Linked DNA regions of Mus musculus: regions 2, 3, 4, 5, 6 and 7 are each reported to be linked to region 1. The links are microRNA targets in miRTarBase. Many come from high-throughput screens and were not tested one by one. Region 1 holds a microRNA gene; each other region holds the end of a gene's coding sequence.
The links. Region 1 holds the annotated microRNA mmu-miR-7b-5p (UGGAAGACUUGUGAUUUUGUUGUU, at 3,144-3,167, shown strand). A microRNA usually pairs through its seed, bases 2 to 8, with sites in the 3' UTR of a target mRNA and lowers its output. Matches are read on the target gene's strand: a 7mer-m8 pairs with bases 2 to 8, a 7mer-A1 pairs with bases 2 to 7 and ends in A, and an 8mer does both.

Region 1 (4,310 bases):
CTGAATTTCATCCCAGCACCCATCAGAAACCAGGCATGGCAGTGAAAATAGCACACATGAGGAAGCACATGTGTAAGTTCCTGGACATTTTCTTCATGATGTCCAAACAGTGGCGTAGTTCAAGGACTCTGAGTCCTTGAACTAGGAAATATCTGATGGACAAAATCCATCCACAAAATGATTGTGATTCAATCCTGAGAGATGTGTGGGGGCAATGGAGCTGGAGGGTGAAGGCACTTGCTGTGGGGTGGCCTGAGTTCTATCCCTGGGACACATGTGGCAGAAGAAGAAAACCTACTCGTGCAAGGCTTTCACAGAGCTCCAGATAAGCACCATGGCGCGTGTGTGCACATGCATGAGGGTGGGCTTTCACACACCGTTTCACTTTCTATTGATTTGTATGTGCGGACATGGAACACAGGACCTCACAAATGTGAGAGAAGAAACCTGCCAAACAGCTTCCCGTAGCCCCAAACGATTCTCCAGCGTGGCAGTGGTGATGCCAACCTTTAATCCCAGCACTCAGGAGGCAGAGACAGGTTGATCTTTCTGAGTTTGAAGCCAGCCTGGTTTACACAGTGAGTTCCAGGACAGCCAGGGCTACACAATGAAGCCCTGTCTCAAAAAGCAAACAAGCAAGCAAGCAAGCAAACAAACAATAAAAAGAACAAGAATTCTCCAAAGGTTTAAAATGAATTAAATTAAATGTGGGCTGCAGGACCCACAAGCTCTCTGCTGACTTCTATGCATGTACTGTGCATGTGCACATAAATAAATAAATAAATAAATAAATAAATAAATAAATAAATAAATAAATAAATCTTATAATTTCAGGGAGATGACTTAGCTCTTTGAGGGACTGCAAGGCTCTGGGTTCATATCCAAATTGAAAGAATGGGAAGAAATAAGAGAGAAAAACAAAGGGCGTGGGGCATGCAAGTTTTACCCAAGAGACTGCTAGAAGGGAAAGGGACAACTGATCAGAGCTTAGATCTTGCAGGTGGCTTTCCAGGGTCTCATCCCAGGTTCCCTGCAGCCCCTCCTCCCATGCCCCTAGGGTGTATAGAATGAACCTGGCTTGCCAGCTCCGCAGCCTGAGGAGCTGGTAGGAGATTTACAAGCCTGAGTGTGTGTCCTCCCTGACTGTCTGTCCCTTTGGTGCTACAAAGGAAGCTATGTAAATGAAGGTGTGTGATGTGCCACACACCAGCCTTCCCAGTGCTGAGAAGGCTGAGGCAAGAGGATCACAAAAGTGAGAGAGACTGTGTTAGAGGGGGGAAACTGTGACTAGGGCTCAGGGACAGAGCGCTGGCCCAGCAATCAGAAAGCACTAAGTTCCATTCCCAGCACTGCATCAATCTAGTGTGGAGGCAAACTCCTGATGGGAGCCTGAGGCAGGAGAATCATAAGTTTGAGGTCATCATGGACTACAAATCAAGACCCTAACTCAAAACAAAACAAAAATCGCCAGAGCTCCGCCTCTATCCTACGCTTCTGTGAGTCTCATTCCCGCACACTTCATCTTCCCTGTGTAGAATTGGACTTTATTTTCAAAATCCCTCAATTTCTTCAAACATTTTTTTTCAGCTTCTCTGTCCCAGCAGGCACACGCTTGATGATCGCTAATCCTCTGGCTACTCAGTGATCAGGTTTTAGATGATCCTCTCGTGGAAACTTAACAGGCCACAGGACTACACCCTGACACCTTCTGGAGACCCCTAAAGAAGTTTTTGGACGGATGCCTGACTTTTATTCTGAAGCCGAGGCCTCAACCTATGAGGTAATCCTTGGAGCTTCATTCCAAGACGATTCCTATTGGTTCACTGGCTAAGCCCCACCCAGGGTTTCCAGCGCTCCGCCTTCCCCTTAAGCGCATAAAGGTGAAACGTCGGAAACTGGACAGCCACCGAGACACCTGCAGCTGCTGGTGAGCAGGAGAAGGTAAGGCACGAAGGAAGGAGGAAAAGGTGCGCTGAGGGAGGGAAGCGGGGACTCTGGGTACAATGCAAGTTGGCACATCTTCCAGAAGGCCAACTGGACTGTTTAGGAAGGGCAGAGAACCCAGGGCTGTCTCCCTGAGATGTGGGAGCAGGTGAGAGCCTTGCGCCTTCGTCCCCGCCTAGAACACCCCGGGTCCATGGGAAGAGATTAAAACAGAAGATGGGTCCCTAGGACGAAGAACAGAAACAAGGAGCGGGGCATTTTGGCAGAAGGCAGAAGCTGGGAGAGTGTCCTCGAGCCGCACTGACCACCCCCTCCCCCAATAACTAATTATGTTTCAGCACTGGAGACGCGGACAGCGCCATCCGGCTGAGGGACTCGGAGCAGAGTTCGGCTTCAGCACCAGGATTTCGGACAGCTCCCAGCGGGTCACGAAGAGACTAGGCTTCAGCACCCGGCCCCTGGCAGTGCCAAGCTCTCAACACCCAGCTTCAGGGATCGCCTTGGGGTCTGTTCTGGCGGAGAGTGTACAGGGAAGGAACCTCTTAATGGTTCTTGGCATTTGTCCTTTACGGAGGGATTTTTTTTTTCTTTTTTGAAACAGGGTTTTTTTGTGTGTACCTCTAGCTGTTCTGAAACTCACTATGTAGACTAGGCTGGCTTCAAACTCACAGAGTACAGGCGAAGCATTTGGTCAACGAGATGTTATGAGTGCCTCTGGGTGTACTAATTTCCAAAGTGAAGTGGTGAGGGGAAAGCCAGCCTCAATCCAACTTTAAATCTCAAGTTCTTTTTATTTTTAAAAAGAGTTTTTCTCTCAATTATATATATAATTATTATTATTTTAAAACACTGTAGACCAAGCTTTGAACTCCTTGTGTAGCCAAAGATGATCTTGAAGTTCTCATCCTCCTGCCTCTACTCCCTGCGTGCTGGGGTGACAAGTGTGTGCTCCTCGTGCCTGGAACAATAAATCCCACGTTGGTGATGTGCCAGGGTGTGAGTTGGGGGGCAGGTAGAGAATGAATCTTGCCTGTGTCTCAGGGGATGGAATGGAAAAGGGATGTCTAGGGAGGGTAAGTCAGTGAGTGGGGTTTGTTATGCTCAATCCTCTATGGAGAGAGAGAGAGAAGCACTTGAGGGTGTTGAACCTGGCGGAGGAGGATGAGGACGAGGAGCGGAGTACGTGAGCCAGTGCTATGTGGAAGACTTGTGATTTTGTTGTTCTGATATGATATGACAACAAGTCACAGCCAGCCTCATAGCGTGGACTCCTATCACCTTTCTCCTGAAATACACAAACAGGTAGGGGCAGGAAACTGGGACAGGAGGGGGTTAAGGGAAGTCTAGCACGGACAGGAGAGGGTGTCTAGCAAGGTCTCGGGCCCTGGGAGAGTGCAGGAGTGTTTCCCATGCTATTGGCCTGTCACTCAAACACATCTACATGATAGGATCAGAGACACAACCTCAGGGCCCTGGGTCACAGCACCGTGCTTTCTCTGGAGACTCAAATAGGGAATGGTGAGCCAGTGGAGTAACTCAGAGGGAAAGAGTGCTTTGAAATTAGGGAACCCAAGCTTGAGCCCCAGGATCAACTGGGTAGAAGGATAAAACCAACTCCTGCAAGTTGTCCTCTGACCATACATGTCCTGTGACACACATGCTTCCACACACAAATAAATAAACACACATAAAAATTTTTCTTTTTTTTTTTTTTAAGAGAGGGTTTCTGGGGCTGGTGAGATGGCTCAGTGGGTAAGAGCACCCGACTGCTCTTCCGAAGGTCCAGAGTTCAAATCCCAGCAACCACATGGTGGCTCACAACCATCTGTAATGAGATCTGACTCCCTCTTCTGGTGTCTGAAGACAGCTACAGTGTACTTACATATAATAAATAAATAAATCTTTAAAAAAAAAAAAAAGAATTACATTTAAAAAAAAAAAAAAAAGAGAGGGTTTCTGTATATAAACCTGGCTGTCTTAGAACTTACTCTGTAGACCAGGTTACCCTCAAATTCAGAGATCCACCTGCCTCTGCCTCCTGAGTGTTTGAATTAAAAGCATGTGCATACATAAAACTTTTTTTTTTTTTGGTTTTTTGAGACAGGGTTTCTCTGTATAGACCTGGCTGTTGCTCTGTAGACCAGGCTGGCCTCGAACTCAGAAATCTCCCTGCCTCTGTCTCCCAAGTGCTGGGATTAAAGGCATGCGCCACCACTGCCCGGCCATAAAACTTTTAAAAGAGGGATTGGCATCAAAGGTACTTCTAGAAAACCCTGAAATTCTTTTCTCTTTCTTGTTTTCTTTTCCTCACTCTTTTCACTTTGCCTGCTTTGAGACAGTGTCACCTGTAGTCCAGGCTTTTCTCT
Region 2 (4,310 bases), not on the chromosome of region 1:
GTGTGCCCTGCCCTGCCCTGCCCGATCACTGAGAGCCTAAGCTGTGAGGCTTTGGATGAGAACCCCCACAGGCCCATATATTTGAATATCTGCTCCCCAGGTGGTAGAACTGTTTGGGAAGGATTAGGAGGTGCGACATAGCTGAAGGTTTGTCATCAGGGTCTGCTTTGAGGTTTCAAAAGCCTATGCTACTCACACTGAGTGCTCTGCTTTGTGCTAGTGGATCAAGATGTGAGCTCTCCCCAGCACTTGGGAGGCAGAGGCAGAGGCAGGTGGATTACCAAGTTTGAGGCCAGCCTGGTCTGCAAAGTCAGTTCCAGGAGAGCCAGGGTTACACAGAGAAACCCTGTCTTGGGGGGAGGGGGGTGGTGAGCTCTCAGCCACTGCTCCAGTGGCTGCTGTCATGCTCTCTGCCATGGTGATCCTGGACCCTCTGAAACCATTGAGGCTCAAATTAAACAATTTCTAAGTTGCCTTGGTCATGGTGTTCTATGACAGGAATTTAACAGTAAGGCACAAATTAATGCCTTTCCTCCTTAGAGATTATTTCTATTTTGTTACAGCAAGAGAAAGCTAAGTAACAAGTTTACATAACAATTAATGGACAAGCCAAGTTTATATCCAAGGGTTACATTTATTTAGATCTTGTTTTTCCATAAATTACTCAAACTATTGTCAACAGACATGATGCAAACAGCTCCCACTGCTGCCTTGACAGGCATGGGCCACCAAGCCTGTCCTTTCTGGGGTGTATACAGGACTCGATTTCCTGCAGTTATGCTCATGTGGACTAGGTCTAACCTGTGCTAATAAACTTTGCCTTTATCACATTACTACGGAATAAAGTAATAATGAGTCTCTGAGAATACAAGTTAAGCCAACCACCTTGCTTCCAGCATCTTCAGAGACTCATTTTTCAACCACTTTGGAGCAGGCGACTTCAGAGTCTATGAAAGACTATTAAACCAGACAGACCATTAGGCCAGACACCCACCTCCTGCGTTTTCTCTTCTCATTTAACACAAAAGTAAAGTCTGTAAATGTCTTCTGCAGAGTGCACAGATGAAAACAGAAATCAAAAGCCTCTCTGTCAGGTATGAAAGTGTATGTGTTGGACAGCTGGGCCTTTGGAGCTGAGTGATCCAGTCTTTACCTTTCCTGGGACGTTAAAGCAGACTGTCCTACCCTAAACTTTTGTTAAGGCGCATTCAGAGCAGAGAGAGAGACCTTACATGACCCCAGCTTCTCATAGTACAAGTTACAGTGTCTGATGTATGGGGCAGGGGCCAGCTGAGCAGTCAGCAAACCTCTGTACAAGCAATACTGTATAACACAGAAAAACCGACCTGCAATTTTTGATTCCATAAGAGCAGAGAATTGTTGGCTCAGGTAGCTAACAATACCCTATGAGTAACCAGTCCCTGGCACACATATGAGGAATTCAAGCTTTCTAGAGAGAGAGATCTCTGTGGTGGGCTACTGTCTGTAACTGTGCTGTCATTTTTTTCCCCAGTCTAACCTGAATTTTGTATGTTAATTAAAAACAAAAAACTAGGCTCTTATGATGTTGAGAAAAGTTTTTCAATAAAGATGACTCCTCCCTCCCTCCCTCCCTCCCCCACCCCCTCTTTCTTTCAGACAGGGTTTCTCTGGCTGTCACTCACTCTAAAGACCAGGGTAGCCTTGAACTCAGAGATCAGCCTGCTTCTGACTCCTAAGTGCCAGGACTAAAGGTGTATGCCACCACAGCCTCAAGATGACTCTCTTAAAAAACAAGTTTGCTTTTATTTTATGTTCATTGGTGCTTTGTCTGCAAGTATGTCTGTGTGAGAGTGTCAGAAACCCTGGAACTGAAGTTAGAGGCAAATATGAGCTACCATATGGATGCTGGGAACTGAACCCAGGTCCTCTGTTAGAGCAGACAGTGCTCTTAATGCTGAGCCATCTCTCCAGCCCCTAAGATGACTCTTTGGTGGAATCTGACTCCCTCTTCTGGTGTGTCTGAAGACAGCTACAGTGTACTCATATATATAAAATAAATGACCATCAAAGTAAGAACTCAAAAGAAAAAGGAAGCCATGGTATCCCTTGCAGGAGGAGAGATTGCAGGACAGGTACTGGAAACTTTTCACTAAGCTGTAGTTCAGCAGCTTTTAAAAGTTCATGTTTATTCATATTTTTCAAAATATTTGTACATAAAAAAGGAAGATTTACAACAGGAAAGACTGCCTTCCATGCAACACAAATCCCAGTGACTCACGATGGGACCTCACAGGTAGGAGCCACCAATTCAAGCCCAAGCCTTAAGTCCATTTCCCAGCCATACGCAGCTGTGGGGATCCCAGGAGACACTTCAAGTGGAATGAATCTCAAACAAACACCTTCTCCTCTGGCAGCATGTAAGGGGCCAGAGGATATATACATCAAAAAGCTTAAGACAATTAAAATATTAAGTGCCACAAGGAAGAATAAATGATAAGCAGAAACTGTAGTTCTCAAGTAAGAAGCTAGTACTATTTTACACAACCTCACAACCCTAAACAAATACAAACAAGAAGAGGGCTGGGTAGTACAGCTTCATCTGCTTCTCCCCCACCCCTTCTCTGTTAAAATATCTCAAAAAGGAAACCGTTTGCCTGATATCAAAAGTTCTATGGAAAGAACAGGGTGGGATGGGAGTGGGGGGCACACGCACAGGTGAATCTGAAAACTGGTCATTTTAGCAAATTATGTTTTACCATTTAACATTTCTACATTAGTAATGGGAACTCTCAAACAGGGACAACTCATGCCCCAAATATTAAAAATATATCTAGACATTTGATCAAGAATATTCTGTCATTTTTGGTAATAAGCAACACCAGAAATCAGATTCCATGTAGTCCTGTACTTCCCCTTCAGTCAGAAACCAAGTGGTGCAGACAACTTGTGCTTGCTGTGAGGGGACAGTGCTCTGGGCAGCAAAGCGAGCTTGGCAGTTGGTCAGCGTGACCGGAGGAGAGGAGCCCTTCAGAATCTATGGGATGGCAGGGACGGGGGCTTCTTTCCGAAGTTAACATGTCCCCGACTCAAGCTGGAGACTGGTCAGTGGAGTGATTCAACAGCCAGGGTTAATCACCACAGCTCTAGCAAGTCTGCAGGCAGGACGCAAAGCCTTCCCAACACTGCTCCTGCGCCGTCTGGACTTCCAGCCCCAGACCTCTAAGTGCTCTACAAACACATCTCTGCAGTTGTTTAAATTAACTTGAAGGAGGAAAAAATCCTCAATCGGATCACAGAAAGAGGACGAGGGCTGGGGCTAAGATGAACAGAGGGAGCAGGGCAGTCACACAGTCAGCGAAGTCCAGGTTATGGCAGAAATTAAGGTGATGAAGAAGCAGGCACTGAACAGCACCGAAGCTCACAAATGTCTACGCTGCTCTGTGTCCATTCCTTCCCACAATGCTCACATGGGAAGAAAAAGTACAATTTAAAAGCATTATAACTAGAACAAATGCACACTGACCTTATAAAGTAAGATTCTGAATTCAATCATGATACCCTTTTCCCTATAAAATTTACTTTTTTGTCTTGAAAGACTTCTTCATGGCAGATTTGCCCTTCCCGGGCAGTTTCGCTTCCTTTCGTGCACTGGCTATGGGCTTTCTGGAGGAGCTCCCACTAGGCTTCTTGATGACTGAGGGAGAGGGTCTGGCTTTCCTGGCAGGGGTCTTGGCCTTGGGTGGAGCTTTCTTAGGCAGCGGCCTCACTTTCCCTCTCTGGGCAGCCGGGACTTTCCGCGCAGGCTTCGACCCTCTCTGCTTCATGGAGGCTGTCTTCCCTTGGGACTTGGCTGGTGTTTTCTTCTGTAAGCTGTGAGAACACAAGAATAAATGTATCACTGAGTACAGGAGAAAGCCATTTGCTAGGACAATCTCCTTCTGCTTAAAGAAATCACTTACATAGAAATCACTATGTTAAAAACAAAAACTTAGCTGGGCGTGGTGGCGCACGCCTTTAATCCCAGCACTCGGGAGGCAGAGGCAGGCGGATTTCTGAGTTCCAGGCCAGCCTGGTCTACAGAGTGAGTTCCAGGACAGCCAAGGCTACACCCTGTCTCGAAAAACAAAACAAACAAAAAAATCCCAAAAAAACAAAAAACAAAAAAAATTTGCCTTGATTTCTCAAACATTTATACTATGTTTGACCAGAAAAAGACATTATGTATTCACAATGCCTGAAGTTTAGAGTCCTTGAATTTTGAAAGGAGAAGATAGTTTAAATGTTACTCAAAGAACCTGAGGATATTAAATGGTTAAAACACATTCCTA
Region 3 (4,310 bases), not on the chromosome of region 1:
GGCCTCATCGTCCACGAAGGGTCTTCTGTTTACCGCATCTTCAAGCGCTGGCAGGCCGTGAACCAGCAGTGGAAAGTCCTGAACTATGACAAGACCAAGGACGTGGGAGGAGACACAGGGGGAGGGGCGGCAGGGAAGCCAGGCCCCAGGACCTCACGGACCAGCCCCCCTGCAGGGGCCCCCACCCGGCCCCCAGCAGCCCAGCGCATGCGCATGCGGACGCTCTTGCCTCAGCGCTGTGGTTATACGATCCTGCATCTCCTCGGACAGCTGCGACCACCAGATGCCCGTTCCAGCTCTCATTCTGGTCGAGAGGTTGTCATGAGGGTCACCACAGTCTGACCTGGACTCCAGGAACAGGGATCTTAAGTCAATGCATCAGCCAGAGGCGAGCCCTCCCGGCTGCTGGAGGTACGACCTAGACAACGTGTTTGGGGCACGGTGACCCCACCACTGAGGATCTCTGTGGACAGCCGCCAGCTTGGAGACATTGTCCGGCCTACTGCCCACAGGGTAGAGACCCCTGGGTGACGTTCCAGTTCCCACAGACACCGCCTCATACTCACCTTGAGGATGGCCAGCAGGCAAGCGGGGAGAACCACTTTTCTTCCTGGAGAGAACCATCTTTACCTCAGCTTTAAGCCTCCAGTCCCCTGGCTCCACCATGGTGACTTGGTAAAGGGAGACCAATGCCAGAAAACAAGGGGCTGTAGACACCCCCCACTCCCCACCCCATGGCCACAGGGCATCTGGCAATAAGACTACTAAACATTGACCTCCCGTTCCCTGCATGAGGCGGGGGACTTCCCCCTGCTCCGCCCCCCACTGCATGGGGGAAGGGCATAAAGAATCATTTATATGCGCGTGGGGCCTCCTTTCTCATCTGGGGCTCTTCTGCAGGGATGGAGGGTATGGGGGGGGGCTCCTCAGCACGGGTTGGGTTGCACTTCCCAGAGGTGCGTATGGAGTTGGAAGAGGGACCCCTCCCGCCCCCCTGCTTGCTGGTGAGTGACTCACCTTGGCTGCTAGGTGTCAGTGCTCAGAGGTAGCTGAGGACGGGGTGTGGGCTTGTCACCTGTGAGTTTTATGATTTAGAAAAGAAAAATCTGAGCTTTTTTCTTCCTGTCTACCTCACAGACTCGAGGATAAATGGGAGACAGGTTGAATACTATGACAGAGAAAACTGACGGGTGTATAAAGGGTTCCGGACTAGTTGCCACCAATTACTTTAGACAGTAGGTGATAGAGCAAGTTCTGAAATGTGGTTTCTGTCAGAAGCGGCACAGAACTTTGGTGTTTTTGAGAGACAAAGTAGAGAAGCAAAAGAGGAAGTCGATACTGCAACTGTGTAGGACAGTGGCCGTTGTAGGATCGAGAACCCTTCTGACCCTCCAAACACCGGACCTGGGGTGGAGGGGCAGCTGGGACTGCACAGCCTGTCTGAGAACAGCCCTTTCCTTCAGGTACTGTGTTCCCCCAGAGGAATGGTGGGAGACCAACATGGACTCAATTAGGGTGATGGGGACAGAGCCTCCTCCCTCAGTGTTATGACTTTAACCCCAATTGAGACATTTTCTGTGGCAGTTTAGGATCACAGGTTTGATCCAGGTGTGCCCGGCTAATGGTATTACTGAGAGAGAGAGGCGTAAGAACTCTTATTTATTATAGAAAGGATTTGGGGAATGTGGGTCTAAGGGCTGGGGGTGTGGGTTAGTGGTGTGCATGTGGTCCTGGGGCTAACTCCCCTACCACCAAAAGAACTATGTGGGTCAGCTTGAAGCTTGATTCCCTTCCTCCTGAAGCCAGGAGGGAGGCTGGGTGTTAATATGAATGACGGTGTCTTTTTTTTAAGTGAACCATTCATGAGCAATTAAAAAATTCCTTCATACATTGCTAAAGTCAGACCCAGAGGGCTTTCTTACTATTGGTCCTCTGATGGACCAACAGTTTCTGCTTTGCCTCCTCTTGGGAGGCTTGGAAACAGTGGGTGTCTTCTAACAGCCCACCTACCCTGGAACACAGGAAACCTTGCTCCATGCCTCTCCAGCAGGGGTCTTGGCTGCTGTCCTTGGTGCTGGCCGCAGATTGGCCTGCGGATGTAGAAACCAGGGCTGTGCTGGGGGTGGGGTGGGGAATGTCTGACTTAATTCCAAATGTGAATGCCTTGAGAGGATCAGAATGAAGAGGAAACTGAGGCTGCCAGCTCTCTGGCAGGAAACCTTACCCAGAAGCACACACCCTCCCCGCTACCTGGAAGCAGAGGGCGCTGGCTTTATTGATTTGTTATTAACAGAAGAGTCAGTGGAGATCAGATGGGGGACAGAAAATCAGCAATGACTAAGTCCGTGTTGGCAGAAGGGACTCAGGTAGATAAGACACATCTGGGGCTTCTGGGCCAAGCCTAGGTGTTCCTTGCAATGGTTCTCCCTGGAAGCTTAAGCATACTCAAGAACACACACATATATATACATATATATATCCATGTGTATATATCCCAAAGGCCCACTTCCCCCTCCCTCCAACACCGATGGAGGTCTCGGGATGGGGCTGTGCACATCTGCCAATATAATCTTTTCTTTTTTCCTTTCTCCTAACTTACACAAACCTTTGTCTAGGGGTCATAGGCGCTGCTGCCTCTTCAAAGTGGCACTTCTGTCTAGCCACCAGGCAGGACAGAATGGCAGGTCCTTTATTCACTGGGAAAACCTTTCTCATGGGCTCAGCTTTACCCACCCCCAAGCTCAGATCTGCTAAGACTCGGGTATTTTATGTTGAAGTTGAACTTGGTGGTAGAGTAGAAGCAGATAATGAGCGAACAGAAGAGACAAGAGGAGGAGCAAGACATGTCCAGTGTCATGGCCTCCGCACAAGGCGTCCAGCATGCCCTGCTCTACTGGGTCATGTGTGATTTGATCTCCATGGGAAGTCCACTGGCTGGCAGGGTCTCTGGTTAGGGAGCCATGTCTAGGATGGGCTGGAGGAAGTGTGAAGTGGAGTCTCTACCCAGCTAACTGGAGTGTGAGGGAAGGATGGAGAAGGAGGCAAGTCCTAACATGGGGGTGAGCTGGATCCAGACACGGGTGGGTGCGTAGAGTGCCGAGAGATTCATTGGGATAGAGGATGAGTTAATCTGCTACCTCACAAGGGGAGTACTGTGTGCAGTCTCTGAGGGGGTGGGGGGCAGAGAATGCTGACTTGGGGAAACAGTGACTTGGGGAAACAGTGTGCGGAGCCCTCTGTGCTCCAGGGCTCCGCACACTCTGCTTTCATCCCGCCTGGGTGGCTCCTGCCAGAATCCAGGTCTTTCTTTGAAGGAGGGCAGATTAGATATTCTAGGATGCCCTTCAGTGTTGGCTGTTCAGGTTCTTTTTGTTTGTTTGTTTTTTGTTTTTGTTTTTTGTTTGGTTTGGTTTGGTTTTGGTTTTTCGAGACAGGGTTTCTCTGTGTATCCTTGGCTGTCCTGGAACTCACTCTGTAGACCATGGCCTCGAACTCAGAAATCCTCCTGCTTCTGCCTCTCAAGTGCTGGGATTAAAAGCATGCGCTGTCCAGGTTCTAAAAGCTCTTCTTTCACCAAGAGTCGAGCCCCCTCTGGTCATCTCTGAAAAACCCTAAGCGCTCAGACCCATTTTACAACTTAGCTCCTACACTCGCTGTTCACCCCCTTAAATCTCCACTAGAAAGCCAGACGAGACTTGGCTGTTCCCACTGCAGATAGAAACATGTCTGGGTCTGTCACAAAACACTCTTTCGAATGGATCATCCAGACCTCCCATTGTTATGGGAGTTGCTCCCAGGAGCTGAGAGAAGCCAAGGTGGGTGATGGGGCTCCGGATCTTGCCAGGCATGGCGGGGGGTAAGGTGAGGGGAGTAAACCCAAAGCCAAGGAGTAAACATTTTAAGACGTAATATATATAAAATTTTTAATATAAAAAAGACAGGCTGGAGGAGGGGCAGGCCAAAAGATGGATGATAAGAAGTGGATCCACTTGAGAGTGGCTGAAGAACCAAGGTAGCGGAGGCTTAAAAACGCTGTAAATTAGGCAAGGGCAGATTTACTTCCCTAGAGGAAAGATTAAGAGAGAAAAGGGTGGGCAGAGCCTGGTGAGTGGACGATCCTGCCACATGGTCCAGGTTCAGTCTGAGAATGTATGGTGCTGAATAGCCAGGGATAGACTCTGGCAGGAGATAGAAAGACTGATACAGCTGGAAGTGGTAGCTCAAGTCTGTAACCCAATACTTGGGAAGGTGAGGCAAGGAGGTTGTGAGTTCAAGGACAGCATGGAATACATAGCAAGACTCTGTCTCAA
Region 4 (4,310 bases), not on the chromosome of region 1:
AGAATGAGGAGCCAAGTCATCTGCTGGGAAATCACCTCTCACATTATAAGCACAGAGGTGCTAGGACAGGACTGAGCTGTGATGCCTGAAAAACAGCAAGAGAGTGGTGAGGGACAGCACTGTGCATCTGTGATCCCGCTTCAGTTCCACCTCTCCCCAAAAGGTAGTCAGCGGCAGCACTAGAGAATGGGGGGTCAACATGGAGAATCCACAATTTCCAAGAGAGCACAGATTCTAGCAGCTCAGTAAGGGCTGCTCCAAAACCTAGTTTTATTTTAGTGTTAATTTAAAGAAAGATTTTTAAGTGTTTCCATGTGTCTCTGTGTGGGTTGTGCATGTGAGTAGGTGCCATGGAGGTGAGGTAGTGTGCCCGGCACTACTGGTACAGAAGGCTGTGAATTGCCTGGCACAGAGCTGGTGGTAGGAAGAGAACACAGGTCTTCTCACAAGCCGTCTGCAGTCTTCAGCACTGGCGACCTTTCCAGTTTCATTATTGCCATCTTACTGGCGTTAGCGCAAAGGTGGTAAAACAGTAGAGACAACCTGTATTCTCAGAACTGAGAAAGCTAAGGCAGTATGATCAGCCAGCAGGTTTAAGGGTAAGTCAGAGACTCTGTCTTAACCATTTTGGCACTAAAGAGGTGGAGGCAGGGGCATCACTATTGTGAGTTTGAGCCTAGCCTGGTTATATAGCTGATTTCAGAACAGCCTGAATAACATGGACTCCATCTCAGTTCTTCCCATCCCACCTATTTGGTGATATGGTAGGCAGCACATGCCTGTAGTCTCAGGACTCAGGAAGTGGAGGCAGTAGGTTCACTGCAATGAGTTGGAGGCTAGCCGGGATTACATACTTAAGTTCCTGGACAGCCTGATTCACAGAGTGAGATCGGACCCACCCATACACCACCTAAACAAAAGTATTGGATTGTGGTAGTGCACACCAGGTCCCAGGAGGGTCAGCAGTTCAAAGTCATCCTCTGATACATAGTAAGTTCGAGGCGAGCCTGAGCTATAGGAAACCTCTCAAAATTACAAAAAGGTATAAGAATGCCAAGGATCTCCCTAGTTTCATATGACCTACCTTCCAGGTCCACCCCGTGGCGCTGGGCCAGGTATAGAACATTGTCCCCGACTTTGCCCCTCACCGGGATCCGCTTGCCAGAGCGGTCCACGAACACCACGTTGACCCTGGGGACAAACAGGGTGCAGGTGCTGAGCCGGAGGCAGGGAGTGGCAGGGAGGGGCAGGGCGTGGCACGAGGGGCACTCACACGTCCCGGGGCAGCTCCGGGCTGTCCGCCGCCTCCTCGCCAGCACGCCGCTCGCCTGGAAACACACGAGTGGGTGAGCGGCTGCGGCCTCGCTGCACGCCGCGGCTCGGCCCAGCCCTATGTACCTGTAGTCCCGAACGTCCTAGATGTTACCGCCGCGTGCCCGGCCCTGGGTCCCCAAGATCCCCCGGCCGCCCGTAACAGGACCCGGGCGCTCACGCCCCGGGCCATGGAGGCGGCCATGATAGGCCACGTGACCGGAAGACCTAGCATGCTCTGCGCGTCCTCAGCGACAGTAAACGCAGCGTTTGGGCGCCGTGTGAGGTCAAAGGTGATGCACTGGGATCTAGCTGGACTTCCGGCCTCGCCCTGTGGTTGGATATTTCTTCCCTTAGGTCGTACTGTATGTGTTCTGCTTATATGTACGTATGTGCACCAAGTGGGTGCCTATGGAGCCCAGAAGAGTTGATGGGTAGTGTGGGGCTGGGAACTAAAACTACGTTCGGCAATTGGGACCAACCTCTGAGTTCTCTAATTTTTAGACAGGATCCCCTAGTCTGGCCTTGATCTCCGAATTCCTTTGCTGGAATTACCGGTTATGTGCAACCAGTATTTAAATTTTGTTTGAGACAGAATCTCTATAGACTGAGAAATTCTTAAGTCTCTAAGCAATTCATATAGACCAGGCTGGCCTCCAAGCCCAACTTAAATTTTTAGGGATTGTGTGTATGAGCCCATCCGTGACATGTGTGTAGGTCAGTGGTCAATCTGCGGGAGTCAGTTCTCTCCTTCCACCATTTGGGGCAGAGGGATAAAACTCAGGCTGTCTGTGTTACCAGAATTCTGAGCTAGTTTGCTGGCCCATGGTTTATATCAAGAACCAGCCAGCTCTGATTTTTTTTTTAAAACCGTTTACTTACAAACTTTAATTCAGCAAAGGTCTATGCAGGGGGTGGGGGTGGGGTGAGGGGGTGAGATACACCCACTGGAGTGGGTTTGGGTTATCATGTTTGGGGAGGGAGGCTGGTGGTGGCTCAGCTGGCTAAGGGCAGAGCCCCTAGGTCCCCCTCACATGGACAGAGAGGAGGCCTGCTCCAGTGATCCAGCCTGGGGATGGTAATGACCTGGGTTTGAAAGAACATGGTAGAGGCCCAGTGGCCTGGGTACAATGGTCACCTTTCACAGACAGCAGGGGAGACTGTTGAAGCCAGCAGAAAATACTGGTCTCTGCATCCAGGCTTTGGGCAAAAGGGGTGGTTTGCCAAGATCAAGGCTTTAGCCTTCTGTCCACAGGGCAGACACCTGGAGAAAGGATGAACCCTAGGCCAGAGCTCTTTGGTCCTGAGCGGAGCTTTTGGAGCTCCGCATCTGTGAGGCTCTGACCCAGCAGGACCTGTGGCCCAACTTTAAGGCATCAGAAGGCAAGGATACTGGGGCAGGGGCTGGAGATCTTGGGGCTTAGGGTACTGGCCAGAATAGGCAGGCAGGGGCATGAGACAGCTATACCTGCAGCAGATGACTGGGAAGAGAATAGGGTTAAGCTGTTGGAACCTGCACATGTGGAATAGAGCCTGGGCAGGCCAGACCCTGAAGGAATCAATTTGGGGCTTTTCTGGACGGATGGGGGAGTAGATGTGATAATCATCCTGGTTGTTTTAAAAAATAATAAAAATTAGAAAAGGAAATAAAAGTCAATTGTCGAAGTTTAAAAACGGGGACTGTCTCTGATCCTCACAGGTCAGAGACACCTCCAAAGGCACTCAAGAGGCCAGAACACAGGAGTGACGAGGCAGGAGAGGAGGCCTGGAGCTAGGGAGGGAAAGAGAGCAGGTCAGGCCCCTCTCTCTTAAGGCTGCAGGGTTTGGCTCCAGGAGCAAGCCCACAGGTAATGGTGTGGCCCCAGATACCCCACATTCCTTGAGCTCCAGCTGGTTGGTCAGCAAAGTCTTTTGCAGAGATTTCTCTATTACCCAAAGAAAGGACATTAAAAAAAATAATAAAAATAAAATCCCAGAAAACACAAATACCAGAAAAAACCCAAAAGCAACTTGGTGCAGGCCCTTGGAGCATCTCTGGTGTCGACCCCTTAGAAAATCCTCTTCCGCTTCAGGTAGGAGTCCGCGTAGTGGCCGCCGAGGCCCTGGGAGTGCTGGCCCACGTAGCTGCCCTCTGGGCTGGGCTCAGGTGAGGGCAGCAGGTGGGAAAAACTGCGTTTCTGGCCACCCAGTGGGGTCTGGAGACAGACAGCAAGGGGGGCCAGGTCAGTGGCCTCCCAGAGCCAGGGTTGCCCAGCCCTGTGCCTCCCCTCCTCCTGCCCGTACCTTCAGCAGGTGACTGTGACCATTGGGCCCAGGGCCCAGGCCCAGGAGCCCTTCACTGGAGCCCATTGGAGAGGAACCAACAGCCTGGGGAGTCAAAGAGGTGGGGCAGGTCACCCTGAGGCCACCTAGCCTGCAACTCAGAACTGAGGCCTGGTGGTAATCCAGCTGTCTCTCATCTGTCTTCTGGGGCTAAGACCACCCACACCTTAGGCCAACTTGAGATGAGGGGAAGCTCAACAGTGGGAACCAGAGGGGCCAAAACCACTGCAGCATGAGCTGTCGCCGAGACCCCTTGGATGACAAGGCTACAGAGACATACAGACACACAGCCCGGCATTCCAATGGTCCTAGAGACCAGTCCCTTGTAGGGCAGACTCACCTTGTTCAGGTGGCTCTGCTTGAGGCCAGCCTGTAGGCCACTGGTGAAGTAGGAGGTGGGTGAGCCAGAGTAAAAATGAGAGAGGGGTCCCCCACTGCCTCCACCACTTCGGGGCTCATTGAAGCTGCTAGGTGGGGGGGACATCTGCAGAGAAAGGTTCAGCTGAGGAAAACCATGGCAGGAACCCTTGCCCACCATGATTCAGATTGTCCATGTTTATTTTCTGGGGACCTCTGGGACCCACAGCCATTGTAGCAAATTCAGACTGAACCACAAGAGGATAAGCTCTGAGTGGCTCAGGGAGACACCATGCTCTGAGCCAGTGACCTTCACTTCA
Region 5 (4,310 bases), not on the chromosome of region 1:
CTTGAAACAGAGTCACCTCAGACACAGGAATGGGCAGGCAAGAGCCAGCCTGATAACAGGAGACGTTAGGAGGCTAAGAGCACGTTACAACTACCCCACTTCATGCCATTAACTCTTACAATCTCCAACCCCAGTAATTATCATCTTTCTACCATTTCATCCTAATCTGTCCTGAAGGCTACCGACAAGGCATCCCCCACCCTGTGTCTGTCACCACATACTCCTATACTCTTTCATTTATTATTACATAATTCATTGTAATCCTCAACATTACTTCTCCTAGTCCTCTGCCCATTCCCGATCCTATTGGCCAATGGACTGCTTGTATTCTTGTTCCCCACCACCAAAAACCCTTTCCCGTGAGTCCAAGGTCTGCCATGCCCAGGGAGCACAGCGTGACCATGTACAGAAAGCATGGCCTGCAGTCAGACTCTTGCCATAGCCGTCACGCTCCAAGCATCTTCATATAGGAACAAGAAGGGTCACGGTACCCCCCGCAGCCCAGAACGTGTCAGCTAGAAGGGCCGAGCTGATGTCTACCTGTGCTTTCTTTAGCAGATCAGATATAGCCGCAGCACAGCAGTCGGGCATGAGCCTCTCCAACTCTAAGGTGATGATGACTAAAGCAAATGTGGAGCCCTTGAACTGCAGCAGCTGGTGGCCTGCCATCCAGTGCTGCAGCTGCCTGGTCAGGGACGCGACGTGGAGGGAAGGATTCCTCTGAGGCCACAGTTCCACCACACGGGGCCAGCTCCGGACCATCAGGGCGTGGAACTGGAGACCATGGTTTTTTAATGTTAGGACCGAGGCCCCTCCCCCCTAGTTTTCACATATCAACAACCAAAAGTGCAAACGGTTTCCGATTTTCATCAGGGAAGCATCTGGTGTGGTCCAACCCCTTTCATTCCCAGACAGTCTGATTTGTGACATGGAACTCTGAGGCTAGAGTGTAGAGACAGCCACGTTTGGATTCTGAGAAATTCAAGAATCTGCTATTAAAGGGAGTGGGGAAGTTACCTGTAACCGCTTGACCTGAGAAGAAACCAGGAACTTTGTCAACAGCACCAGTTTTCCATAACGAAACTGCCCTTAGTAATTTAACCTTCATGCTTTATAACAGACCAAAACGCCATGACATTTCCTCATTTGCATAATTTTGCCTTACTAACAAGCACATCCTGAAAGATGGCCCCCCCATCCCCCCAACTAAAACCAACATGAACCGATACCTGATATTTTTTAAGTGCCAGATCAGTGCGGTCTAACGCCTCAGTAAGGATTGTGTGTAGGTGAATAAAGACAGCTAAGTGAATGTGTGTAAAGTGTAGTAAAGGCAGACAGATATTTATATACAATATTCATAGAATGGAAAGTTAAATATTTTTGCAGTGTGTATCTAAGAGAGAAACAGACCATAATAGTGCCGTTTAAATGTCTTTGTCAAGTGATCTCTGTGTCCTTTAGACGTGAGAGTCTGGTGGTGGAATGGCGTGGGGTATAAAGATAACATTTTTTTTCCACTCTTCCGTATGTTGTGAGCCTTTATGGGTCACCTCGCCGTGGTGCATGTGCAAGGACGTGTTGCACGCCTGTGCCTTGCCTGTTCTGTGTTGTAAACAGCTGTTCCAAAGGCACAGACGAGTCTCAGGGAGACTCTATAAACTCATGCTCATTATAATCAAGAAACCCAGCGACATTCCCGCGTGGAGGTCCTAATGGAGTCTGTCCAGAATAGCCTACCCCATCCTCAGCAGCTCATTTGGGGTACAGCTAGAGCCACAACGCTTTATGACGTCTTTTACACGTGGAATTGACTGTAAAAAAAATAAATAAATAAATAAAGGAGGCCAAAGCCTGACATCATGTTACAGTAACTTGTTTTCTTAGCCATGGGGACTGGGGCATCCACACACAGTAGATTGTCTTCCAGCGGCCTGCCTCTGAAAAGACTTCTGGAAGAAAAGCCAAGCCACACCTTGCTTGTTTGGCAAACCGCTAGGAAGTGGGAATGCTGTAATGTACATCGCATGGACCCCCTTTGCAAAAGGTCTCAAGACCCCACTGCCTGCCAGCTCAGACACAAAGGTGCTTCAGAGGTTGGTCTGGGTCATGCGTGTTCAGCTGCAAGGGCTCACCCAGGTTTCCTCAGAGCTGTGGGTTTGTTCACTCCTCCCAATCCCCGCATGGCTGCTTGGAGAAAGAATAAAGATGCCTTCCAGCTTCCTGGACGTGCAGTTGACAAACTCCCCATGGCCTTCACAGCTCTGCATCCCCATATCTTCCCTCGACCTTATTTTCTCTTTGGGGTATGTGTGTGTGTGTATATGTATGTGTGTATTGTGTATTGTATATTGTGTGTGTGTGTATGAGTGTATGTGTGTATGTATGTGTGTATGTGTTTATGTATGTATGCATGTGTATATGTGTGTGGTGTGCATGTGTGTGTATGCATGTGGAGGCCAGAGGATATCATTCTTTGGGTATCGACCACCTTTTGTTTTTTAAGACAGGCCTTTCATCTCTTCCTGGCCTGGAACTTGTCAAGTAATGAGCTAGCTGGCCAGCAATCCCTAGTGATTCCACCACACCCAGCTTTCTTTTAAAACATGGGTCCAGGAATCCACCTCAGGTCCTCACACCACAGCAAGCGCTTTACCGACCGATCCTTAGCCCCACCCACTTCCTTCAGCCTTTATTGAAGATGGTTCAGCTCTGAGGAAACTATGTTCTCTCAGGTATGGTGGTTCCCAACACTGGGAAGGGGGAGGCGGGAGGATCAGGGGTTCAAGGTCAGCTTTGGCTCTCTAGTGAATTCGAGTCCAGCCTGGCTATACAAGATTCTGTCTCTGAAAGTCAAAACCAAAACCAAACCAAAAGCAACACAACCGGCTTTATCTTCAGAAGACTTTGCTGACTTCCAAATATCAAGGGCATTCATGATTTAGTCCTACATTTTGAGAGAAACAGATATTACTATAGCCTTCAAAGGTACTTCTTTTAAAGGTCATTCACTTGAGGTTTGGTCTGGCAAAAAGAAATTTTAGAGGGCACAAAGTGTATCTTTAAAAAATGATTTTTAAAAATTATGTGGTGTGTGTGGTGTGTGTGTGTGTGTGTGTGTGTGTGTGTGTGTGTAGTGGTATGTGCACATGAGTGCAGGTGCCCCAGGAAGCCAGAGGAGGGCGACAGATCCTCTCCAACTGGAGTTAGATTTTTTTTTTTTGTTTTTTTTTTTTTTGTGAGCTTTCATGTGGGCTCTAGGAAAGAAACCCAGGTCCTCTGCAAGAACAGAATGTGTTCTTAACCACTGAGCCATCTCTCCAGTCCACAAATTATATTGTAATAAACATTTGTATTGAAGGTTTGGAACTGGACACACAAGCCATATTTTCCTTCCTTGGAGACTTCCTTGGACAGTGCCTTGGGAAGGCACTGGAGAGATGACAGTAGTGTCCCTATCCTCCAAGTGGAAGGGGTCAGAGGACAATGTAAAGATCTGGGAAGGTGACTGGGAAACCATCTCCTGACAGAAAGCAACAGTAAAACTCGGATGGCCACGCTAACTTGGAGCCCATTCAGAGCTTCTGCTCTTCTCGGGTCCCCTGCTACCCTCAGAGAGGGGTCTCAGAGTCACTAAGTAGCAACTTCATGGGCACAATCTAGTCAAGTTTCTGGGAAGAGACTTGAAGTCACTTGTCCCACAGAGGCCTCCCTACCTTTACTGAAACTGTAGGAAGATAGGGAAAAGGAAGATCGCCAGGTTGAATGTGGCCAGCAAGGAACGCCTGGAGGGATGCTGCAGCAGTTAAGACTGCACATGGCTCACGCAGAGGACCAGAGTTTATATATGTATACATACCCCCGAAAAATGGAAGCTATTCTTAGCATTAGGAACCTGGAGAGGATTTTCTGCAAGGTGTGGCACATCTCCACTTGCTGGGAAAAGAATCGAAGAGGGGAGCACCAAGTTTGGAGGTAGTTTTGGTCCAGCAGTGGCAGGGGCCTCCTGATTAAGGTAACCAAAGGGGCTTTCATATTTTAAACCCGGATGTAATTAAGCAGCCCTCGGTGGCTTGTTCTAAGGCAGAAACACCTGCTGGCTAGGTGAGGGAAACCACACCGGACAGCGCAGGGCCTGAGCACCGCGGAGGAGGTGATGGATCGTTGCCAAGCCACAGGCACATGTCTCTGCGCAGGAGGGCTAGTGGCGGGGAATTAGGAAGCAGCCAGTGGAGACCCAGCATAGGCCGCGGGCAGTTGGAGCTCTGCCATGATAGACATGATATAAGTTTCAGAATGTGTGCTGTTCC
Region 6 (4,310 bases), not on the chromosome of region 1:
GCAGCACGCACTTAACTTACATTTGTCTCGTTTTTCTAGTAGAGTTGGTCAGGAAAGGAACGTGAGAGTGTAGTTAGGAGTGTGTCGAAGGGAAGGGTGGGATGTTCAGACAGGCACACAGCCATGGGGTCTGATTAGCACTGGATTCAAGGACAATGGCAGACAACTCCGCAACAGTCACATTGGAGACTATCCTTCATTTGGAAGTTTAAAAAGCACAGAACAAGGGGTCAAGCACATGTGGCCAGCTCTGGGGTGGGTTTGTGAACGTGTGTATTTTGGGCCTAAATGACTAAAAAGCATGGATACATGAGCTGAATTAATTCTCTGACCCCAAGGATGATGGAATAGGCCAGGATGTAACGCCCTCTCTCCTCTTCCTTCTTGACTCCCACTGTCTCACAGGTCTATGAGAAACTCAAGGACCATCTACTGATCCCTGTGAGCAACTCGGAGATGGAAAAGGTGGACGGCTTGCTCACCTGCTGCTCCGTTTTTATTAACAAGAAGATAGACTCCTGAGCCAGAGAGTCCCTTCCCTGTGGCCAGCAAGTGGCCGAGGCCAGGCTGATGGCTCTGTACCTATTCCTCCTTTTTCCTTTGACAATCTACTGGGCCACTGTGCTACTAACTCTTGTTTACAAAAAAAGAAAAGAAAAACTAATTCCAATTTTAATCACCTCATTCCCCACACCCTCCTTTTCCTCACGGTGGTACCTAACCTGTGCATTCGCTAAAAGAATTAAGCAACCTAGGAAATACAGAACTAACGAATCATTGGAATGCAATTGATAGCGTGGAAGCCCCTCACTTCAGTGTTTGTGTCCTTAATGTGGGAATGATTTAGCTGCAGGGCATTCTGAAGACTGTCTTCCCGGCCAGCCAGATAAGCAAGGGACTTTCTCTGTATCATGAATCAAGCTTGGCTCCTGTGAAATTCCCTAGAACGTGGATTTTTTTTCCCATTCCCCTCTCTTCTCGCCCCTAAAAACCTTTCTTCTGGGTCTTTCTGTGGTCTTCTCCGCTTCTTTCGTAATCGCCTTGACCTTGGATTTACCCAAGCTCTTGCGTTCTGGATGTCATCCCGAAGGTCCAACCTGTGTGCACTCCTCTCTCTCTGCCTTACAGCCACCTCTCCACCACCAGCAGCAAGTCAGAGTGGCTGGTCGGGGAACAGGAACCTCACAGAGGCACACCCTGACAGGCTTTCCCATTGCCACACCTAGGAAGGTAAATCCAGCCTCAGGTGGTTGATGCAGGATGTTAGATACAGATGCCTAGAAACACCCCATGGGTACATCTTAGAGAGACTGAGTCACATGCCATGAGTTTGCCTCATGACTAGTCCTGTAGTATGGAGGGAAGTCTTTCTCCACTCCACCACCTCCGCCTTTCTGAGCTTCCTTCTGACTCGCCTTGTATCTACCCCCTTAGAATCATCATGATCTTGAGAAAGTCATTTCCTTCAAAAGAGGCAGAGCATGTACAATGATTGCTGATGGTCCGGGGAGAGCCAGAGGGGGCTGCCTCCACCCAGGCCTGGGAGCGCAGTCAGGAAATGGTTCCTAAGGTCAGCCTCAAACAATGTCTGAGTCTCCTGTGAAATATCCATGATTGTTTACTGTGGAATTCAAGTGAAACTTCAAATTACACAATGCTCAGCTGGCACAGGTCGCTCACAGAGAGCCATGCATGCCACAGCAAAGAAGGAGAGCATTCCTTTTTTTTTTTTTTTTCTTAAAAGCTGAAACAGAGCAGGGACATGGTGCTTTACAATGCACAGTGACCCAGCCAGGCATGTCATCAAAGTTCTGGTCACTTCTACCTTTGCTGTACAGTCTGCAGTTTGTCATTCAGTATTTAAAGTTCAGGAGACAAAGACTAAGTCAGATCTATCTCTCCTTTGTGATCAGTGTTTCTCATAATGAAGACAAGAGAGGCTGGTCTCCATTGCATTCCCCCCAGTGGATAGAAGTGAGACAATCAGGGCATCCTTCATCACTCTTCTCATATTTGGCAATCTCTCTGAAGACATCTCCATCTCTTCCTTGCTTCTCTAACTTTAGACTCATAGCACATGCAAATATCTAACTCTGTGCACCCTGCGAATGAACCATATCCTGATCACTGTCATATTTCACAACATATCATGAGTGAATAATTATGTTTTTTCCAGGGTAAATGAATGTGAGCCAGTTGCCTAAATTAATAAAGAAAACTTGTTCTCAGCAATTATGGTTGCCTTTGGGGGTTAAATTTGACCATATACTAGTAAAAACAATTTCTCCTTGAGAGAGGTGACCATCTCAAAATCCACCACAGGAAAAACAGCCCACTGTATATGTACCAGCATGCAACTGTCACTGACGTCCTTTCTCTCATCCTGTTACGTGCAGTCAGTTACGAGTGAGTAGATTTTCCATGGCAACGGTTTCTTCTACCAGAGGTGGTTTTCCAGTTCCCGTTTCCTTTGCGCTCCTCTTTCCTTGTTTGTCCTGAGAAATTGACTAGAGTTGCTGCCTCTTCCCCATCTTACTCTGCTCTTCAGACCCCCTGTGTGATTCAGAGATGTGAACACGCAAAATACACGCAGCATTGCCCCTTCGATGTTCTCATCACATAACGTTACCTCTAAAAGGGAAAATCATTGCCCCAGTTCCCCTCTCGTCCGTTGTGTCTCACAAAGATGGGAAGACCAACAAAAATGCTTCTTGATATTACAACAATGTGAGGAGTTACATTTAACTAAGTCTATAGCTTGGGTAAGAAGGATCAGGTCAGTATGAGTTGGTTTAGTGAAGAGATGAGCTAGAAGGATTGCATAGTTAGCACTATGTCTTTAACTGGTGGGTTGCTGTACCAATTGGTTGCAGATCTCCACAGCGTGTTCATTGCACTAAAATGCTACTAGGAACCAAACACTAAGGCCGTCATCTCTATATCTCTAAGAAGGGAAGTTAGGCCAGGCTGTAGTCTCACAGTGTGGCCTGTGTAGGGTTGCATGCTACTCTCTAAGACATTCAGACATAGTTTCTGTGCGGTGTTAGGTTTGTGCTTTTTTTTTTCTATCTTCTTGCCTGCCATCTTCCAGCCAATGTGTGGTTATCCAGTCTGTGTGCCAAAGTCAGCCATATCTCCCACGACCTGTTAGTCCAGAGGAGTTCTGCACCGACGCTAGTTGCCAGCTGCCTGCTCCTAATGTACACCAGTCAAGACAGAATAAAATGTGAGTTGTACCGTGCCCAGTAGTGTCTGTCTCGTTTCTTCTTTTACCATGTTGCCCAGTTGGCACGTTATGGCATTCCATTCAGCTAAGCGGAATGACTTTTCTTCCTTTGTTCCTGATGGGAAGTAGTAAGGGAGACGGAGGGGAGGAGGGGAGAGGGCAGAGGACAAAGGGGAGGCAGGGAGAGGACAGAGGAGTGTGCGTACACGATACACTTACAGGAAAACGTCTGTGAAACCCATCTCTACGTACAGTGAATAAACAGCAGCAAAACTGCTTTGAAATGAGGGTTTTTTTTAATTTGTTTTACAGTAAGAACTTTAAAGGAAATCTGAAGGTTATTCTTTATGAGGTTTTTGTATCCCAGTAGCTTTTTGTAATCTGAAAGAGCCGTGTTTTATTAAAAAGGCAATAACTCTTCACTGTGAAAATAAAACCCAAGCAATACAAAAATACTATCTAAAGCATCAAGATGGGGTTATCAGAATAGCTCAGCAGCTAAAGGTCCTTACCACAGAAGCCTTGCAACCAGAAGTCAACCCCCAGGATCTCACAAGCTGTCCTGTGATGTTCACACCTGCAAGGTGGCCTGCGCACACCTATTCATGTACCTCATACACACACAGTGCTAATAATAAAATGTATTTCAATTTTTACTTCAAGAAAAATTACGCAAAATCTCATCCCCCGTAGATAACTACTCTTAACATTTCAGAAAATACCACACATTTATGAATAGATATTGAATAATTCGACATCGTTATAATATTCTAGAGTCTACTTTCTTTGTTCAAAAATGAATTAGAGGCATCTTTCCACCTCAGCAAAGACAGGTGTACATCACCAGCTGTAACAGCCCCTAGTCTTCCACAATACACCTACAGAATGGCCCTTCCTAAATCCCACGATGACATCACCCACATGTGTTATGTTCACATTGCCCTTAGGGATCCTCAGACTGTCGAAATGCGCCACTTAGAGGCTTCCACACAGCCCCACAGTTAGTTCAGTCCTGTCATAGTAACAGGATGCTACACCGTAGTGCTCCCCAGATGGGCAGAGCAGTCCTCCAGCTCCTTGGGGA
Region 7 (4,310 bases), not on the chromosome of region 1:
CCGTTGCTTAGCCTCAACAGCAGTCAGTGATTCAGGAGATAAACCCACACCTAGATTTGAACTCTGAGATCCAGAGAACTAGAACCAAAGGTGAGACGCAGCCACTCACAAGCACCGTCTCTAGATTCATGGCTTTCCTTTGCATCCACAGGTCTGATACCTGGCGCCTGGTGAACCCACCGGCACGGCCCCACCTTGAAAACTCACTCAGGGGCTCCTCTGCAGCCCACAGTGGGCATAAGGTGACAGCCATGGCAACCAGGATCACAGCCCGTGTGGAAGGTGGCTACCATAGCAACCGCAGCATCTTCTGTACCATCCTGTAAGCAAGAAGGCCTGCCTCAGGCCCAAGCCCAGGTGTGTGCTCGGAAGAGCTACAGGCTGACTGTTGAGGTGGAAGTTAGGCCTGGGAAGATCCTAGACCCATCCCCATGTTACACACCTGAAACCCTCGGCTGCCTGGGGACTAAGAACCAGGTTCCCCTAGAACCCTTTAGCTCCACAGCCCCAACTGGAAGGACCTTGGGAACATTTCCCCAGGAGAAAGGGAAGCGCAATTGGAGTGTTTCTAGTCACTCCGGCACTTAGAGGTTATGAAGAGCCGCGGAGGCTCAGACAGTACATGCAGTTTTTAGGTCACTTGTTCCAAGCTACAGAGAACCTCACTTCACGCAGACCAAAATCAGACTCTTCTCAGGGAAGAGAGCACTTCTGAGCAAGGGAAGTGACTGTGGTGAGGTGGAGACAGCCGCCCCTTTCCTGGACCTTGACCCTCTGGTCCCTCTTGGGCCCATGCCAGCCTCCCAGCTGCCTCTGGGAGCTGCAGGGTTTCTATTAAAGACAGTTCTCCTGGACTAGCACATGGCCCTGTGAGCAAGGAAGGGGCTTGGAACAAGGACTTCTTCCTGAAAAGCTGCCCCAGGAATGACAAGGGGACATGCTATAAATAAGAGGGGCAGGGGGCTGCCTTCAGGTGTGAGGCAGGTGCTGGCCTGGGCCCCGTGAGAATGAACAAAGTTCCGCTGTCCCCAAGGGGAAGTTCAGCACCCGTCACAGGATTCTGTGTGAACACACACATTCCAGCTGCCCCTACAGAGTCCAGCCTGTCTGGATGGAGGCACCCCCGACCCCACCTCACCCCACCCTACCCAACCCAATCCGACGTGCCCACGTCCTCGTGGACGATCAGCTGCCTTGACCAGCCCTACCAGATCCCCCACTCTGTGCCTTGGCTTGTGCTTGTTTTTCTCCCTGGCATGCCCTTCCCAGACAGCTCCATCCGTGCAGATCTCACCCTTTCCTTGAGGGTTAGCTCAGACACTGCCGTCTCCACGTGACTCTCCCCTGGCTCCAAGTGATTGATTGTGTTGCTCACCACCCTCAGCCTTGCCCGCCCTCCTGCTCCCTCAGGACACTGAGCACTTTCTGCCTTGCTTTGGAACTCTGGGTCCTTACATACCCTGTCCTGCCCATTTACCTGTGAACTCTCGGAAGGTAGAGCCACCTGTCTGTGTCCTTTTGTCCCAGCCCAGAGTCAGAGTTGAGTTAGTGGCCAGCTCCCAAAGGGCTTCACTAGACTGTACTGAGTGTGACAGGCTTTGAGAGTCAGGTGGGCTTGGGTCTGCACGCAGGGCCAGCTCTGCCTGGACGAGCCCTTTCCCACTTGGCCTTTACTGCAGGGCCCTCACCAGCCTTTGGGGTCACTGTCCTACACTGGGCCATATCCCGTGCTGGTTCTGTGGAGCCCTAGGTGCTGCTGTGTTAGGTGGGTGGGAGGGGGAGCTCTGATTTCTCCCTAAGCACTCTGGGGAAAAGAACACTGGCCCTTCCCATGTGTAGCACTGTTCACTGCACTTGTTTGGTGGCCCCAATGTGAGTCGCTGTATAAAAATGCTGCCTTTGTTATTTTGTAAGAAATGACTTTTCTGTGAAGCAAGTACTTACAAAAATCTCAGTAACCAAAATAAAGTTCTATATTTTAAAGGAGGTGCTTCTGGGGTCATAATTTGGTCCACACATTTGCTGGAGGTTCAGTGACCAGTAGGCCTCCCCACTGGTACCACCACTTCCACTGTGAGACTGCAGAACTCAAGACTCTCATCAGCTTGCTCCTGCTATGGCTCAGAATTCAGAGCTGAAGGGCTCCCTCTCAGGGTCTCCATCTCACTCAGAGGCTGTTCCTCTAGCCCTGCCCAGGGGCCTCTCTGAAGACAAACAGTGACACTCCTTCATTGGGGTCACCTGCTGAGCAAAGGGTCTTAAGATACAAGAGCACACCTTCCTGGGCGTGGGTTACTCGCTCAGCATCTTAGTTTTTGCTGTACTCACCTGAGGGTTAGTCCTGTTTTAGTATTTAGACTTTTTACATTCATTTTGTGTGTGTGCATGCAGAGGGCAGAGGACCACCTTTGGAGAAGTTGGCTCTTCTCCCATGTCGGTTCCAGGGACTGAACTCAAGTTGTCAGGCTTGGTGGCAAGGGCCTTTACTGAACACTAAGCCATCTCCTGGCCCTAGTATTAAATATTGTCGTCAGCATTCTTAGTCTTAAATTGATTTTAATAGTTTGGTTGAACCCACAGCAGCCCACCCCTAAGCTAAGGTAAACTTGCCTTTTAAACTCCTCCTTCTGGACAAGGGACGTTCAGGGACAGTTGCCTCTTGCTAACTTATCTCGTGGGCTTCTTGCTGCTTTTTCAAGTGATCATGTTTAGCCGAGGCCAGCCTTGAACTTGTCTCTCCTTCCTCTTCCTACCAAATGCTGGGATGGCAGGCATGTGCCACCATTCGGCTTAGACTGCAGCCTGTTGCCACTGGCTGTTTCATGTATCTCATCATCCAATGTGGCGCTATTTCCTCGGTAGCGTGGGCTGTGTGTGGAGAGGCCAGAGTATCAGGCATCTTCTAGTGCTCCCTGCCATTTTCCTTTGAGGCAAGGCTTCTCCTGTAATCTAGCCGGGCTGGCGGCCAGGAAGCCTGGATGGCATTCCTGCCTCAGCTTCCCAGTGTTGGGAATGTGGGTGCTGGTGTTTGTGGGACCTTTAACCTCAAGAGCTCTCTCCAACCCTGAAAGGACAGTTTTTGTTGTTGTTGAGCCTGTTGATGTGTGTACATGCCACAACTCGCTAGTGGAGAAGGGACTACTCGTAGGCGCCAGGTCTCCACTTTCACAATTTGGACCTATGAGAGGCTTCTTGTCAACTTCTGTCTTAACCTCCCTTGCAGAACCATGGCCACAGATCATTTGGTACTGTTAAAACCTCCAGCCTCTATCTGCAGTTCCCCTTCCAGATTCCAGAAACTTTATTACCAGCAGTGGGTCTGTCGAGGCCTGAATCCAAAGCCAAGTGAGGTGCCAAGCTGACGGTTCGTGCTTGCCACATGCACTCATCCCCAGCCCCCACTCACTTGGCCAACGTGCCTCTCCGCATGGTCTAAACAAGGAGGAAAAGCCGTGGTTATCACTTCCTGACTTGGCCATGCCGTATCAGAGTAGGCTGGTAAGTTAGATGGTGCTGCCAACCCAACAGAGCTGTAGCCTCCTCCTCTGCCTACTAGGCCTTCAAGGACCTCCCTTTTGTTGTTTCGAGACAGGGTTTCTCTGTAACCCTGGCTGTCCTGGAACTCGATCTGTAGCCCAGGCTGGCCTTGAACTCAGAAATTCACCTGCTTCTGCCTCCTGAGTACTGGGATTAAAGGCGTGCGCCACCACTACCTGGGTTCCAGGTCCTGTTTATAAACTTTTGGCTCCAAGTTCACTCTGATAAGATCTTTTGGCTTTAACTTCCACAAGACCTTCTCAATCCTGCACATGACTCCCAAGGAGAAACATCTACCACTTCTAACCACTGCAACATGAAAGGAGGGAGATGAAGTCAAACCTGGGCCATCACTTTAATTTCTGCATAAGAGACGCACAGCTGGAATGCTGGCTTCTGGCATGATAACCACCCTAAAGTAAGGCCTCGGGGGTGTGGTGGAGCATGATGGAGTCCCAGAGAGGCTCAGAATTCACAATCCTCCTGCCTCAGTCTCCTGAGTACTTTGGGTTATAGGTTTGTATCACAAAGTCCAGTCTACTTTCTTTTTCAAAAAAATAAAAATGGAAGTGAACAGAAGTGGCTGTGGAAAACATCTAGTTCATTTTCCTCCGCTTTGACTGTCGATCAGAGTTCTGGGCTGGAGGCAGTGGGACAGACAGAGTGCCCAGTCTGTGACTCTCTTCCCTGCCATCTGCCAGGGACACCTTTTGTTTGGAGATCTTCAGCCTCATGGCTTTCGCTATCTCAATCATCCTAAGGAAGAAACAGAA

Region 2: miRTarBase lists Hp1bp3 as a target of mmu-miR-7b-5p. The part of its 3' UTR that is shown has no 7-base or 8-base seed match.
Region 3: miRTarBase lists Marchf9 as a target of mmu-miR-7b-5p. The part of its 3' UTR that is shown has no 7-base or 8-base seed match.
Region 4: the mRNA of Raver1 is a reported target of mmu-miR-7b-5p. The part of its 3' UTR that is shown has no 7-base or 8-base seed match.
Region 5: the mRNA of Septin8 is a reported target of mmu-miR-7b-5p. The part of its 3' UTR that is shown has no 7-base or 8-base seed match.
Region 6: miRTarBase lists Ddah1 as a target of mmu-miR-7b-5p. Seed matches in the 3' UTR shown: 7mer-m8 at 869-875 and 7mer-A1 at 3,084-3,090.
Region 7: the mRNA of Fbxo10 is a reported target of mmu-miR-7b-5p. The part of its 3' UTR that is shown has no 7-base or 8-base seed match.

Annotation. Positions count from the first base shown.
Region 1 is chr17:56,239,874-56,244,183 of GRCm38, forward strand. It overlaps Mir7b (microRNA 7b), which reads left to right and starts at 3,115; the gene lies at 3,115-3,225. A230051N06Rik (RIKEN cDNA A230051N06 gene) reads left to right here and starts at 1,843. Exons shown (of 2, transcript NR_155493.1): 1 at 1,843-1,941; 2 at 2,283-2,932.
Region 2 is chr4:138,240,988-138,245,297 of GRCm38, reverse strand. Hp1bp3 (heterochromatin protein 1, binding protein 3) reads right to left here. Exons shown (of 13, transcript NM_010470.3): 13 at 615-3,852. The coding sequence ends at 3,558. Among named protein-coding and RNA genes, the nearest start is that of Sh2d5, 7.3 kb to the left of the region's middle.
Region 3 is chr10:127,052,603-127,056,912 of GRCm38, reverse strand. It overlaps Marchf9 (membrane associated ring-CH-type finger 9), which reads left to right. Exons shown (of 4, transcript NM_001033262.2): 4 at 2-863. The coding sequence ends at 342. Cyp27b1 (cytochrome P450, family 27, subfamily b, polypeptide 1) reads right to left here. Exons shown (of 9, transcript NM_010009.2): 9 at 3,907-4,310. Among named protein-coding and RNA genes, the nearest start is that of Marchf9, 5.4 kb to the left of the region's middle.
Region 4 is chr9:21,071,991-21,076,300 of GRCm38, forward strand. Raver1 (ribonucleoprotein, PTB-binding 1) reads right to left here. Exons shown (of 13, transcript NM_027911.4): 11 at 3,974-4,117; 12 at 3,595-3,678; 13 at 2,168-3,506. The coding sequence ends at 3,360. Fdx2 (ferredoxin 2) reads right to left here and starts at 1,541. Exons shown (of 5, transcript NM_001039824.3): 1 at 1,399-1,541; 2 at 1,274-1,328; 3 at 1,085-1,191. The coding sequence starts at 1,516. It overlaps Gm38431 (predicted gene, 38431), which reads right to left. Exons shown (of 17, transcript NR_038081.2): 11 at 3,974-4,117; 12 at 3,595-3,678; 13 at 3,301-3,506; 14 at 1,274-1,328; 15 at 1,085-1,191. Mir7082 (microRNA 7082) reads right to left here and starts at 3,598; the gene lies at 3,507-3,598.
Region 5 is chr11:53,547,736-53,552,045 of GRCm38, forward strand. Septin8 (septin 8) reads left to right here. Exons shown (of 10, transcript NM_001347496.1): 10 at 556-1,870. The coding sequence ends at 724. It also overlaps the pseudogene Cycl. Among named protein-coding and RNA genes, the nearest start is that of A430108G06Rik, 17 kb to the right of the region's middle.
Region 6 is chr3:145,891,037-145,895,346 of GRCm38, forward strand. It overlaps Ddah1 (dimethylarginine dimethylaminohydrolase 1), which reads left to right. Exons shown (of 6, transcript NM_026993.3): 6 at 406-3,241. The coding sequence ends at 522. Among named protein-coding and RNA genes, the nearest start is that of Gm35187, 2.5 kb to the left of the region's middle.
Region 7 is chr4:45,031,924-45,036,233 of GRCm38, reverse strand. It overlaps Fbxo10 (F-box protein 10), which reads left to right. Exons shown (of 11, transcript NM_001024142.1): 11 at 152-1,986. The coding sequence ends at 326. Polr1e (polymerase (RNA) I polypeptide E) reads right to left here. Exons shown (of 12, transcript NM_022811.3): 12 at 1,955-4,293. The coding sequence ends at 4,134. Among named protein-coding and RNA genes, the nearest start is that of Gm30939, 11 kb to the left of the region's middle.